Linked DNA regions of Arabidopsis thaliana. The protein of the gene in region 1 interacts with the protein of each later gene in a pairwise test. Each region holds a gene or a part of one and is shown on either strand. Other genes may lie near its edges. The genes, in order: petB and PGR5-LIKE A.

Region 1 (3,826 bases):
AGTTATTGCAACTAAAGATTCAAGAAATTCCATTCTTACAGGTAAATGCTCAACACCCACGTAAGCTTAAAAAGTTTATCATGATTAAGTGCTTTCTGGGTCGTCTCATACCTTATAAATTCGTCCTTAATCTCAACAATTATATCGAGATTTTTCAAATACAAAGGATTTACTTGTTACTAATGGAGTCTACCCTCTACTCTTCATTAGATCCTGTATTCACTCCGATAGTATCATAAATCGAGTCGATGCAGAGAAAATGAATGCATTTACATACTATTACTATTAATAATTATTTTCTTTTTTTTTTTTAGTCCAAAATAACTAAAAACATAATCAGGATTTTGTTCCATCCCTTAATCTACTGGATTTTACGGAGCCCACTCATCCACGACAGCGTCGGGTACGATCATAGAAAAGATTCTCTTCAAGTGAACCAGCCTATCCCCTGTATGGGGCTTACACAGTGGTTGGAACAAAGACACATTTGGTTGTGAATTCCAATGTAGCAGATAAAGTAATATTTCTGCACGGCCCGATCAATAGTTCAAGTCACACACTCCCATAATCCATTATCTCTTCATAGAATTCCCTTCAACTTTTTATGTCAAAAAAATAATAAAATATTGTGGAGTTGAAGGGAAATATCCAAATACATGTTTTATTTTTTTAATAATCCATATTTATAGCAATAAAATACTATCGTTCCTTCACCAAGTAATAAGTAAGTACAAATACCTAGAATCTATATTATTTATAAGGGACCAGAAATACCTTGCTTACGTATCATTAGGAAATGCATTAACATAAAGACGGCCGTAAGAAGAGGTAATACAAAAGTGTGTAAACTATAAAAACGAGTCAAAGTGGATTGTCCAACACTAGCACTTCCGCGTAATAATTCTACAAGAGGTGATCCTATTACCGGAATAGCGTCAGGTACACCTGTTACAATTTTGACCGCCCAATAACCAATTTGATCCCAAGGTAAAGAATAACCTGTTACACCAAAAGATGCGGTCAATACACCCAGAACCACACCAGTAACCCAAGTTAATTCGCGAGGTTTTTTAAAACCACCGGTGAGGTATACACGAAATACGTGCAGGATCATCATTAGGACCATCATACTTGCCGACCATCGATGAACTGATCGGATTAACCAACCAAAGTTAGCTTCAGTCATTATATATTGAACAGAAGCAAAAGCTTCAGTAACGGTTGGACGGTAATAAAAAGTCATAGCAAATCCCGTAGCTACTTGTACTAAAAAACAAGTAAGGGTAATTCCGCCTAGACAATAAAATATGTTGACATGCGGAGGAACATATTTACTAGTTATATCATCTGCAATCGCCTGAATCTCAAGACGTTCTTCGAACCAATCATAAACTTTATTGAGATAGGTAAACCAAGGTTACTCCCCCTCCAAGAACTGTATATGAGAATTTCATCTCGTACAGCTCAAACAAAAAAAGACCCAAATACTGATTGAAACAGATATGGAATATAAAGTTTTAAACTTGTCTCTCATTCAATATTATTTTTTATTATTTAAAGATATGAAAGAGTCAAAATGCGAAAGCTCGTCTTTGTGGTTAAATGCCAAAAAATCAAGTAAGCTCATTCGTCTTTATGTTGTGTTGATCGTTACAGGCCTCTTGAATCTTCTAGATTACCTATCTTTATTGTCTTTTTTTATTTGGTATTTGTATGGAACGGGGACAGGGATTTCTTCTTGTTTTCTTTATTATTGATAGGAATTCTCTTGTTAAGACCCTACTTAACTAATCAATTGAAACCTCAGATTCATACGAGAACCACGATAATTTAATGAAACCTTCAAAGTCCAAAGTTCACTGAGTGAGAACCATTGGATCATCACTTATTCAATAAAAAAAAAGCTATAATGACTAAAAACATAAAATACAAAGAAGCGTTTGTCCTTTGATCCAAATAAGAGTTTAAAAGCAGAAAATTTTTTTGATTTATTAAAGTTTATAAGATAGAACGGAAAGAAGTCCGGCTACGAGGTTTGAGTATTTAAGTATGAATCATAGTTCGAATACTTTGTGATCTATTTGATCTATTTCGTGCTCCAGATACTCGAATGAATATCCGACGAAGTAAAACCATCTTGATAAAGATGACAGACCCCATTCTCTGTACTATCCATAGGGTCAATTCTAACAAGTCACACACTCATATTCCGGAAATATACAATGCAGAAAAAAATTTCGCGGTCGAACTACCAAAGGAGAATAGGCTAAAATTGTTAGACCTGCATACTTTACTTTTTTGTATCGAGCTAAAAGCTAGAACTTCAAGATTCTTCTCAGTCTAATTCACTGAAATTCCATCCAGTAGAACAGAAGAATTATAAATCTCCAAAATAATAGATAGGAATACCGCAAATAGAGCCATTGCAACACCCATCAAAGGGGTCGTTCCCCATCCGGGAGCTACTTTACCATATTCGGAATTCAATGGTTTCAATAACTTCCCTACAGTAGTGCTTCTTGGACCAGATCTAGAACTATCTTCAACAGTTTGTGTAGCCATAAATCTTATTTTGTATTCATTACGATCTGTTGACTTTGTATACCATTCCGTTGTAAATAAATGATCTTAGCATAGATCCGGTGTGGTCTTTCAATTCTATAATAATGGAAACAGCAACCCTAGTCGCCATCTTTATATCTGGGTTACTTGTAAGTTTTACTGGGTATGCTCTATATACTGCCTTTGGGCAACCCTCTCAACAACTAAGAGATCCATTCGAGGAACACGGGGACTAGTTAACGTAATCAGCCTCCAAATATTTGGAGGCTGATTACGTTAATGAAGATAATGAAAAATTATTTCATTTTTTAGTTGAAATTTTAGGTGGTTCCCGAAAAAAAATAGCGAAAAAAATTATCCCTAAAGTGGATACTAAGAGAAATGTATAAACCAATGCTTCCATAAATTTGATCGTGGTTTACAATTATAGCTTTCATACCTGTTTTGTTTACGTTTTGTTTACTTGGGAGGATAAAGAAAGAAAAAGAGTCAAAGAAACGGCAGCGATTTAAATAAAGATTCCTACAGTACCCTACCTATTAAATAAAATAACAAACAGAAACTAGAAGAAAAAAAGCAATGTTGCATCAGACTGCTTGTCGTTTTGTAGTTGGATCTCCAAGTTTTTGGAATGCCCCGAATTCCACTTGAGCATCCAAATCTGGATCAATACCAGCAAAAACATCTCTGAAGAGGGTTCTAGCACCATGCCAAATGTGTCCAAAGAAGAAAAGTAGAGCAAACGAAGCATGTCCAAACGTAAACCAACCTCTTGGGCTGCTACGAAAAACACCATCAGATTTCAAAGTCGCACGATCTAATTCAAAAATCTCACCCAATTGAGCCCGTCTAGCATATTTTTTCACAGTTGCGGGATCACTATAACTCACTCCATTGAGTTCACCACCATAAAACTCAACAGTTACACCTACTTGTTCGACACTATATTTTGATTCTGCCCTTCTAAACGGGACGTCAGCTCTAACAATTCCGTCTCCGTCTACCAAAACTACCGGAAAAGTTTCAAAAAAAGTAGGCATGCGGCGTACAAAAAGTTCACGCCCTTCTTTATTTCTAAAGACGGGGTGGCCTAACCATCCAACAGCTATTCCATCCCCATTGTCCATTGAACCCGCTCGGAATAACCCCCCTTTTGCTGGATTATTACCAATATAATCATAAAAAGCTAATTTTTCAGGAATTTTCGCCCAAGCTTCTGATAAACTTTGATTTTCAGCCAGTCCAGCACTAACTCTTCGATATA
Region 2 (5,018 bases), on another chromosome or scaffold:
GAGCTTAAAGTTTCTAATGGTGTAATCTCTGATCATGAGATCAAGAAGATGTGTAGATTGAATCAATTGAGACTTAGATTGGTGGAATGATAAGAGAAGTATCATGATGATGATACAAAAAGAGAATGAATCCATAAGAGGAACAAGAGAATCTAGGGTTTACAAGAGGAAGTGAAGATAAGAGGAAAGAAAGAAAGTTTTGATGGTGTTTTTACTTTTGTGGGGGATGTGTGTTTTGGGACACAAACATTATAAACACTTACACTTCATTTGTCAGATTTCTCTTTTACCTTTATAGAAGACATGATCTAATTGTTAAATAAGCATATGACCGTTCTAACGTAGAGGTTTTAAAATTTTTAAATCAACGTAAAAGCAATTAATAGGTTCAGTAGTGGAGGAGAAAATTGGATCAATGATGATAGAGGCATGGGAAGATGATGATCATGATTACACTTTCTGTGTTAATTAAAATTCATAAAAAAAAATTGTAATCAATTTTTAGACTAAAAAAGAGAGAGACATTGGCGTGCTAATGTTTGTGTGACTTTATCCTCTTTTGTGCAATGTTGTTACCTTTGTCTGTCCTTTCATTATATATGTTCTTGACTTTAGTTCTCTTCTCAATCAATCTCTTTATGTTCCACACCATTTCATAAAATTTACATCCAAATTAACACCATGCATTTCTCATAGTTTCTTGCCTCGGTAAGCAAATGTATATAATCGTGTATGCTTTTCGTTTTCTTGACTTAAAATCATTTTTTAAGGTCGTTTTAGATACAAATCATAATAGTATTAGAAATGTACCAAAGTTAATTTGAAATTGTAAAGTTATCGAAATAAACATTTTAAATTCGAATTTGGTCTTTCATGTATACAATTTGATTTAACTATAGTAATGATTATATTTTTATCTACAAAGGTAGATGAAGAAGTGCTCATATTATATATCTCTTATTGCTTACACACAATACTTACAAATCAGAAAACATGTGAAGGAGAGAGAGCTAACATGGAAGATCTTACATATACATTTAACTTCGAATCTATTTTGCTTCTGACAAAACCCATTCTTCTTTTCCCATCTTCATCTAGCTGGAAAAAGCAAATTTTACTATCTCTGACTTCCATGTGATCTAAAGAATTTACTATAAATGAGATGTGTACCTCACAGGGTTTAAGCTTGGCTTCCTTCTGGCAATGTGATCAACCTAGAACCCGAGTCATACACCATCGCGGTTCCGCAGCTAAAAACAGAGATAATCAAAGAATCAGATAGTAATATGTTACACTTTTGAAACCATATTCGAAGGTAAAATCTTACTTGGTGCATTTGACAGTGTTGGTTTTGCCGCCGCTGGAGATTGACAGAATTGTTCCAAAGAAGGAGGTGTTTTCCGTTCCACAATTCGGACAAGGACCCTGTGAAACAAGAAACATTCATAAAAAGGCTCTTTGATGTTTTTCTTTTGCAATCTTGAGTAATGGTAATGGTTCTTACCTTCAAGATCAAGAAGTCCTTGATGATCAATTTGGTGATTGATAAAGCCAGATATACAATCACAGGCACAGCAGCGAACCAAGTGAATATGAAACTGTATGGTTCTGGAAGCTCCATGATGTATGTGATCTCAAAACCTGTAATGTCGTCCAGGAAGAAAAAGCTGCAAGTACAGAATTGAATGAATAAACAAAGACGAAATATGGGTTTCATATGATTTGGATGTTTGAATAGAAAACTCGGTATAGAGACTCACAGTCCGAGAGCAACAACGGTTGCTGGAACATTCAACAATAACATTTTGAAATAATCTACAGCGAGATCACTATACACCTACATTTGAGGAAGTTCATAAAGACTGAAAATTAGTATCTATCTATAATCTAATATTAACAATGAATCTTATGTTCTATTTACCTTTTTACTACGGAGACTGCATCTTGGACCCTCGCTCACAATGTCGCTACCATCAATCTACATGGATACAGAAAGAATCATAAACTTGAAGCTTAAACCAATCTTATAAGGGTATGTCTATTTTCACTGAAGCATAAAAAGTGAATGGAAACCTTTAGTTTGAGTTTGAGCTTATCATATTCTTCATCATTCAAGATTGGATTTCCAGAAACATAAGCCATGGAAGCTTCCAAGAATCTTTGTTCATCGGAACCTGTGTTTCATATTACCAATAAAAGATTTAGGACTTTGCACCAAAGAAACCAAAACAAAGAAATGAAATTTAGTCCCATAGTTGATGATTACTTAGCATCACAACACTGCTTCCTTCCCACATTAACTCTTCTTTAAGGTTATCAAACTCTTCATTAGACATGATCGCTTTGCCATCATAATAGAAAGACTGTAATCAAAAGACAAAAGCAATTCTCAGGCTCTTGAAGATTAGATATATATCATGTTTTGGCAACTATAAAAAAAATGGTTTATTGTAGCGTTTACTTGCAACGCTTGGAGAAACTCTTGTTCCATTTCACCAATTGTTTTCTTCTCAGCCTTGTTGATGCTACAATAGGGCAAAACATTGCTATCGACGTTGTCTCCTCCTACTGGACCTTAAGGAAGACAAAAAGACTGTAATTGAGAACTTCATAGCAAATCTAAAGTTGATACCTTACTTATGCAACCTAATAGTTACACAACTTCTGACATTGCAAAACTTTAGTACAGAGTTAACCACTAAATAGTCAACAAAGTCCAATACAAACAAATATACTATACCAAAGTTATAGCCATTGAATCAATCAAACCCTTCAAAGAATTGAACTTTAACAGGATTCGAGTCTGGATACTACAAGTTAGTGACTTAAAAACATAAATTTTCAGAGCTAGAGACGTTGAATTAAAATAATATATCCTAAATTTCAAAAGGCTCAAACTTTGGAAACCCAATTGTGAACAAATTCGAATCCAAATGGCTTTGTAAACAGAAAACTAAGGCGGAGTGTTCGAAATCGAGACTAAAGTGGCCAAATCAAGACCTGATTGCTCTGTTGTGGCTTTAGCAGGCAACAAGAAGACTCTTCTTCTCAAAGAAATCGATTTTCCAGGGCTGAGCTGAGTCCATTGAGTCCTCGAAGACGGCGACGGAGGAGAAGGAGAGAAAGAAGAGGAAGGTTTGCGAGAAACGGCGGAGAAAAGTCGAGGACTTGTCAAACTAAACAACATCTTGCTACCCATTTTCCCTTAGAGATAGAAAAGGGAGCTCCTTTTTTTCCTCTGTTTTTTTCAGTAAGTATGAACCTGTGGTTGAAGATGTGTTTACTGTGAGCTTCTCAGGTTTCTTCTGATTTTTTTTTTTTTTTTTTTTTTTGGTTTTATTATAAATTTGGAGGGAAGAAATTAGGAGATAAGAGAAGTGTGGAGATAAATTCCTAGGCAGATTTCTCTTATTTTTTCCTTCCTCTCATCCTCATAATCAGAATATCCACGTCAGCATTAAATATCCGGTTTTCTTAAACAAAACAAAAACTTAAAATAGAGAAAAGACATAATTTTAGGCTTTGATTATACAATAAAAAAAATACTGTGAGATGAGTAAGAAGATTTTTTTTTCGAAACATGGTGATTTTTTAAAAAAATTTGACATGTAGTATGTGTAGTTGAATTCAGCTGATAATATACTTTAGTACAAACCATTAAAATAAAAATGAGTTCCAAATTTTAAAAAACAAACAAGATAAATAATTTAGTTTTCCAAAAGAATTATTGATCCACATACAATTGTCTATTTGAAATTGAAAACCAGTCAAATTGTTTTTTTAGTAATTGATTTCCAAACTACAAAAAGAAAATGTGGTTAGTAGAAGAACTAGTAGAGGTGAACACGTGGAGACACGCTTAAAGCACGCGACGAAGAACACGTTGATAGCGATTATGGGTTTAATTCTATTGGGCCTTTTCTGGGAGTCTAGACCCAAGCCCATATAGTAGTAATCTTTTTGACCAATCAGTCAACCCAACCATCCTCTCCCGTTGACCGTGAAGTGAGTCACGCACTTACCTCACAACAATAGCACTAACCACCGGTAGCTCTACAATGTCTCTTAGTTCGGTAACAAACTCTTCTAACTAAAAGTATAGTAAAAACTTTGCTATATAAGAAAGAGTCTTTGCACATTTCATTTACTTGCAACCAATTACAAAAAAGAGTGTAAGAAGAAAAACAAAACAAATCCATTTTTTTTATTACTCTGTTTTTTCCCCTGTTTTTAAGTTTATTTACTTCTTACTCTGTTTTCTGCTCTGTTTTAGCTTTAAACAGAAGACTAAAGAAGATGGTTGCGGTTGAAAGAGTTGAGAGTCTAGCAAAAAGCGGAATCATATCGATTCCAAAAGAATATATTCGTCCAAAAGAAGAGCTCGAGAGCATCAACGATGTTTTCCTAGAAGAGAAGAAAGAAGACGGTCCTCAAGTTCCCACAATCGATCTAAAGAACATCGAGTCAGACGATGAAAAGATCCGTGAGAATTGTATTGAGGAGCTGAAAAAGGCATCTTTGGATTGGGGAGTGATGCATTTGATCAACCATGGAATACCAGCTGATCTAATGGAGCGTGTCAAGAAAGCCGGAGAAGAGTTTTTCAGTTTGTCTGTGGAAGAGAAGGAGAAGTATGCAAACGATCAAGCCACTGGAAAGATTCAAGGCTATGGAAGTAAATTGGCTAACAACGCGAGTGGACAATTGGAATGGGAAGATTACTTCTTTCATCTTGCGTATCCTGAAGAGAAGAGAGATCTATCAATTTGGCCTAAGACACCAAGTGATTACATGTAAGCTTTGAATTGTTTTACTAAAGAAAACAAAATCTTGTTTTGGTTTTAGAATCTTTTATTAACGTTTTTCGATGATTGTAGAGAAGCAACGAGTGAGTACGCGAAGTGTCTTCGTTTGCTAGCGACTAAAGTCTTCAAGGCTCTCTCTGTCGGTCTAGGTTTAGAGCCTGACCGTCTAGAGAAAGAAGTTGGTGGTTTAGAAGAGCTTCTTCTACAAATGAA

Evidence for each region.
Region 2: the proteins of petB (region 1) and PGR5-LIKE A interact in a protein complementation assay, tested with the Arabidopsis thaliana proteins (one study listed by BioGRID).

Annotation. Positions count from the first base shown.
Region 1 is NC_000932.1:73,221-77,046, reverse strand, and holds petB (cytochrome b6), read right to left. Parts: upstream 2,207-3,826; coding exon 2,201-2,206; intron 1,397-2,200; coding exon 755-1,396; downstream 1-754. Other genes in the region: petD (cytochrome b6/f complex subunit IV), read right to left, coding at 559-566; psbH (photosystem II protein H), read right to left, coding at 2,341-2,562; psbN (photosystem II protein N), read left to right, coding at 2,667-2,798; psbT (photosystem II protein T), read right to left, coding at 2,864-2,965; psbB (photosystem II 47 kDa protein), read right to left, coding at 3,150-3,826. UniProt on the Arabidopsis thaliana protein: Component of the cytochrome b6-f complex, which mediates electron transfer between photosystem II (PSII) and photosystem I (PSI), cyclic electron flow around PSI, and state transitions.
Region 2 is NC_003075.7:12,005,338-12,010,355, reverse strand, and holds PGR5-LIKE A (PGR5-LIKE A), read right to left. Parts: upstream 3,371-5,018; 5' UTR 3,200-3,370; coding exon 3,001-3,199; intron 2,575-3,000; coding exon 2,462-2,574; intron 2,364-2,461; coding exon 2,267-2,363; intron 2,175-2,266; coding exon 2,074-2,174; intron 1,979-2,073; coding exon 1,922-1,978; intron 1,838-1,921; coding exon 1,761-1,837; intron 1,668-1,760; coding exon 1,505-1,667; intron 1,426-1,504; coding exon 1,328-1,425; coding exon of another isoform or gene 1,324-1,327; exon of another isoform or gene 1,251-1,323; coding exon 1,181-1,250; 3' UTR 1,171-1,180; intron 1,099-1,170; 3' UTR 820-1,098; downstream 1-819. Other genes in the region: AT4G22900 (transmembrane protein, putative (DUF1191)), read right to left, coding at 1-135; LDOX (leucoanthocyanidin dioxygenase), read left to right, coding at 4,297-4,793, 4,878-5,018. UniProt on the Arabidopsis thaliana protein: Ferredoxin-plastoquinone reductase involved in cyclic electron flow (CEF) around photosystem I. The homodimer is probably not involved in CEF.